Neurospora crassa OR74A: one gene and its partners. The protein of the gene in region 3 interacts with the protein of the main gene of each other region in a pairwise test. Links are inferred from orthologs where the notes say so. Each region holds a gene or a part of one and is shown on either strand. Other genes may lie near its edges. The genes, in order: NCU06389, NCU04611 and NCU06929.

Region 1 (4,100 bases), on a different chromosome or scaffold from region 3:
ATGTGGGTCCCGATAAATTACCTCGAGTCGGGTGTGAGACCCCGATAACCTGGAAGACCCCGAAAGAATAGAACGGCACCGCGGGAGAGAGCGGGAGCGGGGTGGCGTGGGAGCGGGGATACCTGAGGGGAACGCCTCTGACAGCGGAGTGCCCCTGGGAGGCCATGTTGCCGACAAGAAGGCGTCCAGCGAGACAAAGGTACGAGAAAAGGTAATTACAGGTAATTGGTGGACGTGCCCTGGGAACGCATTCAAATGGAGATAGGATCATAAGGCATGCTGTCTCCACTTTAAAATTGTCCTCCACCAGCGACTTCGCTTTGAGGTAAGGTATTTGGCTGGAGGATTGTCGCTGGCGTACTTCCAGGATCCTACTTCTTCCATCCGACCATTCCAATTGTCAGTCTGTGACTCCAGTGCTTCAATGTCTCGGAATGGAGACGTGAAGGTCATAGCCGGAATGGGGAACGGGGGAAGTGGAGCTCGAGATCCTTTGACCTAGTGTACAGTATGCAAAATATTTGTGGCAGCCGGGAGACGTGCTTTTGACCGCCCCAGAGATAGGGCGGAGGGGGTGGATCTCATCGATATAAATGTGACATGGCCTGGATTCGGGCACTGGGGGAACGAGCTGGGAGGGTAGAAGTTTAAACCCTAAAATCCCAACTTTTGCGAACGAAGCTTTCGGAAGAGCAGCCGAGGTGCGCGTGTCATGGTGTGCACTGGGTGCGTCAAAGCAGCGAAGTACCTATGCTTAATAAGACGTTCCGCGGCGCGTCCACTTTCTCTTAACATTGGTAGAACGCGCTTTCATCTCTTTCGCGGCATTGACGTCAGCATTGGTTTAGTTCATTATCAGCAAGCCAGACGGAAAACCCTCCATCGTGAAAACAGTCAGTATAGAGATAGAGTATCTTTTCATTCTGGCATCTGACTTGGACTTCCACGGGCGGCCTGACCTTCCATTTGCCCTTGTCTGCTGGCACCTGGCAGCCTAGGGGTTCCGGCGCGCTAAGCTTGATCTGGATTGTTAACAGAGATGCACGCCAAGATCCGCGCGGCAGGGTAGCTAAAGCTCGAGCCAAGCAACAAATGGCATCACAGTACCTAGAGGTACCTACGTACCGACATGTGTAACACTGAACGTCGGGCACGAAGTCACCTCACAGCACTTCGACAGGCGGTGCTTCCACCCACTTTGCACGCTTGACGGGCAGTTTCCACTTTCAACCATCCATTCAGCGAATCTGTTCGCGGCTCCCTCCCGTTCGGTCCCCGTCTCTCCCCGCGGGTCACCCACTGGTTTTCGTCAAGCGTCAACAAGACCCCGTCGCCCCATTGCCCCCGTAGCTCCGTGCCCTGCCCTTCCCCCATCAGAGGCTTCACGAGACATCCTGAACCTGGAAGCCGGTCGTCGCAACCTTGGGCCTGCAGCAGGAACGGGATTTCCCAGCGCGATTGACCCGCGATTTCATCATATCTTGCGGCAACGCCTAAGCCACTTTCTTCAATCTGACCCTGCGGCGCGCTTAGTAGTAGTCTCTACCTGGTCTCATTCAATTCAATCTCGACTTGACAGGTGCGCTTTTCCTCGTTATCGCCTTTCGCGCTTCCCAGATCGGCTGACAAGATTCCATCGCCAAGTCGCCATCTCGAGTTTTTTTTTTTTTTTTTTTCTCAAGTGCTTTTTTGTGGTTTCTTTTTTTACTCCCTCAGCTCCTAGCCATCGCGCTATTGCTCGCTACCTTCGACTTTGCTACTCCTGGTACATCTCTCTACAGTATTACCCTTGGCCCCCGGCGGATACAGATACAGGCTATCTCGACCTTTTCTTCAGCCGACCGCACAAGGCTCGACGACTTGCTGCCCGTCGGGTTATCAGAAGTTCAGAACGTCCTACCTCTACGTACCCGTAACAGCCTGGCGTGAGAGCAGCAGAACCCAAAGGCGGGACGATTCATTTTCTAAATTAATATTGGTCTATATTATCCCAATTTTCTTGCGACGTCACACCCCCCCGACGCCGCTTGCGCCAGACGCCCGTATCCCAATTTCCCCCCGAAAGTCCAGAACTTCGACTTCTCCACACTGTCAACCCGTTTCATCAGACCTCGGCCTTATCTAGCGCGATTGCTCCCGTGCGACCCTCAGCCCTCCCCCATCGCGCGCAGAATCCGGCGCGCATCGCTTCGATAAAAAGTGGCGGCACTTGCGGTTATCAGTCACGCCGGGGCCGAATTACCTCTTGAGCACCAGCATATCGATCTGTCCGACGACCTGCTCGACCACGATCAGACCGTCCCGGAGGGGGACGCCGATTCCTTGATGATGGCACACCCGGTGCCTCATCACACAACGGACAAGAAGCGCGTCAAGGTCTACGAACTCCGTAACAATGACTGGTTCGATCGCGGTACCGGCTTCTGCACCGCCCAGTTCGTCCCCGTCCAGGAGAACCAGCCAAAGGAGCCCCGCGTTATCGTCGAATCCGAAGACCACCCCGACCGGCTTCTACTCGAGACCAAGATCGTTAAAGACGATGGCTTTCAAAAACAACAAGGCGCGTTGCCCTGAACCATTACCGTCGACCCCCACCATCGCACTGCTAACTGTCTTTACAGATACCCTGATTGTATGGACCGAGAACAATGTGGATATGGCCTTGAGCTTCCAGGAAGCCGAGGGTTGCGCCATGATATGGTTGGTCCCATCTCCGCGATTCGTCAATGTATGCGCCCGTTAATCATCATGTCAGGAAATTTATTGACGGCGTCCAACAAACCTTCCACAATGTCCTGGGCGGCGCCGACGACAGTCTCTCCGAGGATCTTACTATGGATATGTCAAACTCGACTTTCACGCTCCCCCCGGCCGATCTGGCGAACCTACCCGACCTCGAGAATATCATGCGCCAGATGTCCAATACCGCTAATGGCCGCGAGATGCTGGTCAAGTCCATCATGGAGCACGACATCATACCCTCATTAGGCAACCTAGTCGAGATGGCGGAAGATCTCGAGAGCCTCGACGACCTATTTCGTCTTTGCAACATGACCAAGACGATGCTCCTCCTAAACGACACTGCAATCATTGAAAAGGCTGTTTCTGATGAATGTGTCCTCGGTGTGGTGGGTGCCCTCGAGTACGATCCCGACTTCCCGAAGCACAAGGCGAACCACCGGCAGTGGTTGAGCAACCAGACCCGTTTCAAGGAGGTGGTCAAGATTGAGGATGATACAATCCGGCGCAAGATTCAACAGACCTTCCGCTTGCTGTATCTCAAGGATGTGGTTCTGGCCCGAATCCTAGATGACCCGACCTTCTCCGTCCTCAACTCGCTCATCTTCTTCAACCAGGTTGATATCATCAACCATATCCAGACTAACGGTGGGTTCCTAAACGACCTCTTCTCGATATTCGCCGACCCCTCTGCGCAACACCTACGCAAAAAACAGGCCGTTACTTTCCTCCACGATTGCTGTGCCATCGCCAAGAATCTTCAACCACCAGCAAGGCAAAATCTGTATACCAATTTCCTTGGTCATGGTCTTGTTCGTGTCATTAACTTCGGCTTGTGTGATCACGACGTCACTGTACGAGTTCATGCTACTGATATCCTCGTGGCCATGATTGATCACGATCCCCAGATGGTTCGGCATACGATTTACCGACAGCTGCAGGAACGTCAGAAGCCTCTCACTGATGTGATCATCGACCTTCTTCTGGTTGAGGTTGATCTCGGTGTCAAGTCGCAAATGCAGGATGCCCTTCGGATTTTGCTCGATGTGGCGCCGATCATGCCGCCAGATGCAAGAGAGTATCCTCCCAACCAGCAGCGATTGAGACAGCTTCAGAGCATCGACCCGCAGCAAGAACTTCTGATACAGCACTTCTATGAAAACTCGGCCGCCAGGCTTTTTAAGCCACTGCTCGATCTCGAAGGGCAGACGGAGTTGAAGTTCCAGCCCATGCAGGAGTACATCTTCGGCTACCTGAACGACATACTCTGCTCCTTCATCCGACAACACCAACACAGGGCCAAGTACTTCCTCATCACCCACAGTCTGGCACAGCGCTTCGTTCAGTTGCTTTCATGCAAG
Region 2 (3,975 bases), on a different chromosome or scaffold from region 3:
ATCAGGTTGCCGACGCCTGACTAGCTCAGCCAAGGCCTCGCGTTGACTCTCATCGCGAGCTAGGTTGGTAAAGGTACCGTGTTCGAGAATCCTTCCATCCTCATCCATCGAGACCCAGGATACAGGTTCACGGTTGGGATCGCCCATGCCATTCGATAGCGTGAGCACGCGGGGAGTCGTGCCAATAACCATACCTTTGGGCTTATAAGGGGCTTGATCCAGTCTCTTGAAGTAAAGCTCACGGCAGGTTTTAAGCAGCTCATCCTGGCACGCCGTCCGCAAGGAGTCTTTCACACCCTTGACAATAACCTTTACCAGCTTGTCAAAGGCCAAATCGATCACCTTTTGACGTTCCGCGTTCCACTTGTCGGCAAGCTCGCTAAAGTTCTCCGAGGCGAAATCACTAAAAAGTTGTTGCCTAAATTCGCGGTCGTTCTCCAGCGAAACTTTAATTTCGATGAGCCCTTCTTCCTCTGCCTTCATCATCTTGAGGAAGAGCTCCGGGCGAACGGCAAGATCGGCGATAGACATGTTTTTGAGATACTTGACCTCGTAGTAAGGATTTGCTTCGTCAATCTTGCGTAGACCCTTGTCAGTACGACGGCAGCTCACAATGCCCATGCCGTAGAAATTTTTCCTGAAGTGTTTGCGCATCCGAGGACTGGCAAACATTTCTTCAGCAAGCATCTGGCGAGCAGCATTGATGACCAACTCGCCGGTCGGGAAATCGGCGTCTACCAATGTGTCGGCCAGGTCATCTGGTAGCCTTGAATCGTCCTCTGAGGTCACCTTGCTGCTTTCGCGCAGAATGTTCTTGGCAAGACGATCAGGCGTTATTCCGAGTGCCTGGACAAACTTGTAGGCATTGGATCGCCGGATGCGTTCAAACTGGGCTGTCCTGCCACCGGCCCTCTTAATCTCACGCTGTGCGCTATTATCGTTGGCAGCAAGGTCCTTCAGCTCCGCCGAATACTGGAAGTTTAGGTAATCTTGGAGATCCTGGAGCTCCTCAATGGACTGCGCTTGGCGTATCATCTCTTCAAGGATATCGTCCCGGGTCTTTTCCTTGAGCTTGTCGTAAGTTTGTTCTAGCGCGTTACGCTTCTCCAGGAAAGACCGGAACCTGATGTCGAGATCCAGGACCTTCCACAGGTCATCTTGGGTAAGGAGCTTCTCGGCGTCAACAGTATATTCGGGAGCGTCAGGATCGTCACGGCGATTCGGGTTGCGCATCTTCTTGGCGTGGATGAGGTAGTCTCTTCGGTGCTGGAAAACGTAGGGAACTTCGACGCCGTCGATAACGAAGAATTCGAGGACCTTGCCCACGGCCTTGTTGAACGGACCGTGAAGCTCACTGGAAAGATTTTTGCTGGGTAGCATCAGGTTGCTGATCCACCGAGCCTCCTCCTTGAACTGATCGGACGTCATCTGGAGATTCTTGAAAGCCTTGCGATCGAGCTGGAAGCGCTCAGGCTCGTCGTTGAACCGAATCCTGTTATCCTCGTCGGTAAGAAGCTTCTCCTTGAGCTGCGAAGGTTCGAAGACATCCTGCAACTCGATATCTTCCTTTGTTCGCTCCGCGTGCTCCTGCTCTTCCTCCAGCTGCAACGCCCATTCGTAATCTTCACCATTACCGAAAATGGCATCCATGTCCTCGAGAGCATCCTTGTCGAGGCCGGTTGTGTCGATGTTGAGGCCCCTATCCTTGGGACGAGCAACCTCCTCATCTTCTTCGCGGTGTCGACGTTCTTCGTCATCCTCGGGGTAATCATCTTCGATGAAGTCGTCGAACTCGTCCGCTTGAGCCCGGCCGCTGGGACGGCCGTAGCCTCGATCATCGTGCTCTTCGTCCTCATCGGAAAAGATCTCGGCAAGACCGCGACGTTCAGTGGGGCGGTGGTCATCCCTATGACCCCGTTTCAGGCGCTTGAACTTGGTTTGCTTGGAAAAAGGTGAGCCGACTGGATGATATCACCGGAAACCGTAGAGCACATACCTGGGGTTGTGGCTTCCGCTCCCACTCAGGAATCGCTTCACCAATCAGGTCGAGATCTTCTTCGTCGAGCTGCTCCTCCTCTTCGCGCTCACGACGGCGCTTCTTTCTCCTACGGCGTTCGCGCGCATCCGAATCCTCGGCCTCGTCCTCTTCATCTTCGTCTACGATGAAACCTTCGCGAATCTGTGAGCGGTGGGTGTGTCAGCGTTGTTCCCAACCGGAGCTATGTTGCAGCATCGGGCCAGAGGCGGCATACCTTTCTAGCCTCTTCCTCATCTTCGTCGTCCTCCTCCTCTTCGCTGGAATCATCAATGTTGGGTCTTCTTCTCGGGCGGTCGCCGGCCTCCTCATCAAAGGACTCATCATCCTCCTCGTCATCGAGCTCGGCCTCGCCGTCAATCAAGTCGCGCATGCTGTTGCTCATGGTTACGGCTGGTTGGGGTGGCGCAAACTGGTGTGTAAATAGGTGTCTTTTCGGACAAGTCTCGACCGCCTAAGAGGGTCGGAATTGGAAATGAAGCGCGTTTCGATGGGAGCAACAGTCGCTCTTAGGGTGCTGATGAAAAAAAGAAAAGAAGAATACAGGAGGAAGTTGGGTGAAGAGCGAGCTCGTTTGGTGAAAAAGAAGTGATTAGCAATTGAAGGAGGTCTGAGTTGACCGCGACTGCCCTGAACCTTTCTGGCCGAAAGGCTGCCCGCTTGCTGCTGCTGCCGCCGTGTACGTGCTGCTCGCTCCTAGGTGGTTCGCCTGCCGCCAGGTCACGTCGGTCGGTGCACGCACGTCAATTGTGTAGTGTCGACCAGACCCGAATTTTTGGAGCAAGACGGCGGGCCAAGCAAGGCCCGGCCACCCGCCCCTGTACATACCCTCCAACTGAACTTGTTACGCCACGCGCCACATAACGCGTTCAGCCTCGCCAAGGCCCAGGCCATAGAACTGTTATGTACAGAGAAAGAACACATGGCTTGGCCCGTGCATTTCGTCAACATTGAACGGCGAGCAGCCCCATCACCAACTTCCAGTTGTCCCGAATTCTTTATGTTTTGTGATGGCATCTTTTACTGTGCTTGTCATTTTGCTCACGAGGATGTCACAACGCCCTTTGGGTTCGTGCGAAAACAGTTCACAGATTTCGTTAGGCCAGTCTCGGACCGTCACGACCATACATCTTGACAGCCAAACAATCTGGAGTTCATCTGTCAGGAGAACAACAAAAAACAAAAACAATATTGTAAAGTGCACATCGGAGCATATGGTGCCGTGTACAGACACCAACCGACACCAACCGACACTATCCATGCCCTCGAGGGGAGCTAGCAACGGAAGCTCTAACTATGATGTTGAGCACATTGGGCATGTTTATGCAAAGTTCAGTCGCCGACATGCTTGAACTCTGGGATCCGCATGGCTAAACTATATCTGAGAGACGTTCATGCCGCGCATCATGGAACTCACCACTTGAGTTGAACCGAGCATCTTTGGTTTCAGATGTTCTTCGGGGGGTCATGATCCCCAGCCATCCGCGCTTAGACCCACCATTTGGCACGCATATCTCGAACAAGTCCCTGGCATCATCCGGATCACAGCCGACTGTTGGTTCTGGTCATGCCCAATCACAGCGGTATTTTGCTTGATTCGACATCTCATGGCGCGCTTCTTGAGAGCTCTGGGGTTGTACGAACATGACGTGCACTGTGCTTGCTGTGCTGCGGTTAGACTTGAAGATGGTCCTGTCATTGGCATGTTGATACTTTTCTTTTGTTTTGCTGGTAACAGGGACACATGCGTGCCAGAGAGTTTCTTCATCTCTTGCCTGTAAGCGAGCTACACTACAAGAGCTTCACAGGGTCCACTGGAGATAGGCTGTGCGCAAGATGGCACCGTCTATTTATAAGTACGTATGGCTAAGTACCTGGGAATAGCTTCGTCCGGACCTCTCTCAGAGTCCGCACTGTATTTCCCCCCCACTACGGTGTGC
Region 3 (4,192 bases):
AGCCCTTGTAACCACCGCGTCTAATAACCACGGTTTGGTTAATGGCCCGATCAGGTCCGAAGGTTCGCGGAGCTGGCATTTGCTTGCCGCTAGCAGTGGGGTTCCGCTTCAGGGCTGGGTTCATCGCACTGAGATCTGGGCCCGCAGTAGCAGTGTTGCGACCACCCTTGGCCGCGACCGTGGTGACGCTGTTAGCCCGAGTGACGAAAACACCAGCATTCTCGTTGGTGGTCGTGGTGTGAAGGAAAATGTAAGAGCGATGAATGTGAATGATCTTGCCCTGGCGTTGCTGGCCACCATATTCACGGACCACGTCGTCCAGCCTGATTTCGGAGCCGTTGCGGTCAGCAGCCACAGCGAACTTCCTCTTGGGGAGCTTGTTGGTGATTTGCGACGGCTGGACCTGTTTGGTATCGCCGTTCTGGTCTAGCACCACGACTGACTCGCGATCAACCTTAACGATGCAGCCGACAGTCGTGGCATCCAACTGCACAAGATCCAAGAGGGAGTACTGTCCAAGAGAGCCTTGGCCACCAATATCAGATGCCTCACGGAGGTCTTTGCTGAACACGGTGATCTCCGTGTTGGTCTGGTCTGTGAGGAGGGTGACTCTGTCGTCCACGATCTTGACAACCATACCAACTTCGTCACGGAACCGGCTGCCACCAATGACCTTGACGTGGTCACCAATCCTGAACCTCTTGCGCAGACCCTTGTTGGGGACGTCGATGGTCCGGCCAGCAAGATCACCCTCGGTAACCTGCAATGTGACGATGTCGCCTTGAACATTGGTGGCCTTGCCGATGACACCCTGCTGCTCGCCCTCATACACCTCGATAATATCACCAGGGACGTACGCAACACTCTTAGCGCTATCCTTGAGAGTAGCAGCAAGAGCCTTAAGATCGAGGTTCTCTGTACCGTCCTCGGCTCCACTGGCGAACTTGGTAACCTCCTCCAACGTAGGGTTGACATTCTTGACCTCGAGCTGCTGGATCTTGATGTCTTTCACCTGGAAACCGTTCTCGAAATCATCGCCGTTGTAGTTCCAGCTGTTGGTCTGCGGGTTCCCCTGGAGGTAACGGGGGTGTCTCTTGCGCGCCTCGGCTTCACTGAACAGACGCTGGGGAGGACGAGGGCCGGGCACACCGGGGCGCTTGCGCTTGCCATCGGCCTGGAAGACGGGGTCATCCCTGACACCGTAGTCGAGTCTGGGAATGAAACGGACTCTGGCCTCGAGGCCGTTTTCTGTAACGTCGATAACCTGAGCAAGATCACCGGCGTGCTTGGCCGGCTTCTTGAGACGAACCCAAGCGCCGGGCTCCAGGTTAGGCGTCTTGATGACACGCAGGAGGTCGGGCATGTCCTTGATCTCGACGAGGTGCATGTTGCTCCTGGGATAAACGTTGAGAATGCCATCGAGAGCCACGAGAATATCGTTCTGTCTTTGAGCCTCAACGTAGATGTATCCCTTCATGACCGAGTTGATACCACCACGTTCGAAAGCAGCCGTGATGGGGACCTCGTTCTTGGTGCCCATTCGCTCTTCGATACGACGCATAATCGAGAAGATGACCTCACGCTCCTTTCCTTCTTTACACCTGACGGCCCAAATGCTGGGGTCCTCGACACTGGGAAGAAGCAAGCGACGGGGCACAATGGCCATGTCTCCGTAACCTCTAGCCGGGGCGCGCTTGCCGTAGCGCTCACGCAGGATCTCTGCCTGTTTCTCAGCGTCGAGGCTGGCCTCCATCTCTCGGCGGCGGTCGAGCTCGCGGTGTCTTCTGTCATCGTTAAGGCGGCCGCTGTCGGCAATATCGTCAGGGTGGGCATTGTCGATGAAGTCCTCTATCTCTTCACCGTCGCCGACTTCGTCTTCTCCCTCGTCTTCGTCGTCAACTTCGGCTTCGATATCGAAGAAGGCAGCTCTACGGTCCTTGTTGCGACGCTTGCGACGATTGCCCTGCGGACAAAAGACAGCGGGTTAGCTAGGTCCCCGATGTGGCGACACGGGTAGGTTTGGCGGGTCATCTGCACCGGGACTTGTCTTTTGTTGTTTTTTTCTGGCAAGTGTGGATGGGATGGTGCTGCAGAATTGAAGTGTGGAGGGACATTATTGGGATCCGGACTTACACCATGAACATCATCCTCGTCTTCCTCATCTTCCTCTTCCTCTTCGTCCTCCTCTTCCTCCTCATCTATCTCCTCGTTCTCCTCTTCATCTTGCTCTTCATCCTCGTCATCGTCGTGGTGATCTCGACGCGATCGCTTGGCCGGGCGCGCGTCTTCCTCTTCGTCATGTTCCTCCTCTTCCTCTTCTTCGTCTGGTACCGGGCTACTAGCCTGCCTCACGGTCTTACCAGCGGGGCGGTGGTTGTGCGTGGTCTCTTCGTCGTTGTCGTTGTTCTCCTCGTCCGACATGTCGGCGGGGGCGGGGTTGAAGTTGTCATCGTCGGACTCGTCGTCGGCGCCGGCGAACTGCCAGCTGTTTGACGCCATTCTGAATAATTTATCTGAAAGAGAGCGGCGAGCGACAGGGGTGTCGTACAGTCGTACTACCGGCGGTCGCGCGTTGTGTCGAGGTGTGGGCGAGAGATGGAAAAGGAGAGAGGAAGGGAGAGATGGCCGTAGGTCGCGAGATGTGGGATTATATTTGTAGGTGAGAAAAGGAAGATTGGCTGGCCTCGAGCCGATGGATGATGTGGTGGGAAATGGACCGACTTTTGAGGCGTCGACTCGCTGTGAGTGTTCAGTTGCAGACTTGCAGCAGCAGCACCGCGGGTCGTGAGGCGGAAAGAGAGCTGCACGGCCCACAACTGGACAGTGAGTGGGTGGACTTGGAAGCACGGACGGTCACACCTCCACCCCCGGTTGGTTGAGGACACTGGACGGCAGGGGAGTGTGCTGCTGCTGCTGCCAAGCACTGGAATAAGCCGCTAGGCTATTCGCGGCCAAGGTCAGGTCTCCGGCCGGCAAGAGGTTCCTTTTGTTCAGGTTACATTCGACCAGGACCTTGCAGTCCAGGACGGGTACCTAGGTAGGTAGAGATACCTCATCGTCTATTCATTTGCGCACGTGGCTGAAGTACAAGTACTTTCAGCTGATAGAGTATGTAGAAGAGAGCGCTGCACCGTGATAACCTCCCTTTCGTTTGCCCTTGTCAACACCATTACTAGGCAACCTTTCATACCTAGTAAACACGGCCAAGTAAAAGTCAACTCCTGGCAGAGACAGACAGACAAAACTATCTACATGATACAGCGCTCCTCCAGGAAAAAAACAATCACCTGACCACCTCCTTATCCTTCCGGGTGACCGTCTGAATGAAGCTCTGATACTGCTCATCTTCCGCGGTCTCCATCATGATTCTAGCATTCCGCCTCGGTGGAAGCTCCCTAATCTCCGGCTTGGGTATCTGCTTGTTTGCCGTCGTCCACAACACTCCCCCCGTCCTTGCCGCCTTTGGCGCTTTCAGTTCCGCCGCCGCCGCTTCCTCCGCTCTTGATGGAGCATCAATCATCACCACCTCCTTGTCCTTGTCTTTCTCCTTCGCGTGTTGTCCCTTTCCAGACCCGGCCGCGCCGGCCCCGTCCTGCGCCTTATCTCCTTCTCCTTCGCCGTTCTCTGCCGTCTCGGTGGGTCTGGGCAGCCTCATGGCCAGTAGAACGTATTCGCTTCGTTGCATGGTATCCATGATATCGTCCATGTACCTCTTGACCTCTTCCTCCGGCGCCACTACTCTTGCCAAATTATCCAGCACATGTTTGCCACTGGGAGCCGCCGTAAACAACCTTATAGTTATGGGCTGGTAGTAATCAAGCTCCGGGTCCGCCATCGGATATACTGCTTTGCTTCCCCTCCTGATGATAAGGAATGACGCCACCACCTGCTGTTGCTGCTGTTGTTGTTGTTGCTGTCCTTGGGTACTGCTAGCGCTGCTACTGGGAATAGTCTGATAATCCAGAATGCTGAACTTCGGAAAGAGGTACCGATCACCGTTTCCTCCCGCAAACTCGAATACGATGGCCGAATAATCAGGTTGTTTGGGCGGCGGCGGGGGGCCCTTTGAACGAAGCGCCTGTTGGGCCGATGACTTGTCGGCTTTCTCTCCTTTCTCCTTTGTGGCCTTTTCGGCCTTCTCCGTCGTCTTCTTCTCCTCAGCAGCGTTGGCCTGTGAGGTCGTTCCTGTACC

What was found.
Region 1: the proteins of NCU06929 (region 3) and NCU06389 interact in binary tests that used the Saccharomyces cerevisiae proteins (3 or more experiments, as listed by UniProt). The link is inferred for Neurospora crassa OR74A from reciprocal best matches to the Saccharomyces cerevisiae genes SPT5 and PSY2.
Region 2: the proteins of NCU06929 (region 3) and NCU04611 interact in binary tests that used the Saccharomyces cerevisiae proteins (3 or more experiments, as listed by UniProt). The link is inferred for Neurospora crassa OR74A from reciprocal best matches to the Saccharomyces cerevisiae genes SPT5 and SPT6.

What each region holds. Positions count from the first base shown.
Region 1 is NC_026504.1:2,675,691-2,679,790, reverse strand, and holds the start of NCU06389 (DUF625 domain-containing protein), read left to right. Parts: upstream 1-1,299; 5' UTR 1,300-1,579; exon of another isoform or gene 1,580-1,644; 5' UTR 1,645-2,325; coding exon 2,326-2,560; intron 2,561-2,621; coding exon 2,622-2,700; intron 2,701-2,755; coding exon 2,756-4,100.
Region 2 is NC_026505.1:1,505,104-1,509,078, reverse strand, and holds the start of NCU04611 (transcription elongation factor spt-6), read right to left. Parts: upstream 2,812-3,975; 5' UTR 2,421-2,811; coding exon 2,253-2,420; intron 2,180-2,252; coding exon 1,997-2,179; intron 1,942-1,996; coding exon 1-1,941. UniProt on the Saccharomyces cerevisiae protein: Histone H3-H4 chaperone that plays a role in maintenance of chromatin structure during RNA polymerase II transcription elongation thereby repressing transcription initiation from cryptic promoters.
Region 3 is NC_026507.1:793,358-797,549, reverse strand, and holds the start of NCU06929 (transcription elongation factor spt-5), read right to left. Parts: upstream 2,805-4,192; 5' UTR 2,500-2,804; coding exon 2,134-2,499; intron 1,964-2,133; coding exon 1-1,963. Other genes in the region: NCU06928 (hypothetical protein), read right to left, coding at 3,284-4,192. UniProt on the Saccharomyces cerevisiae protein: The SPT4-SPT5 complex mediates both activation and inhibition of transcription elongation, and plays a role in pre-mRNA processing.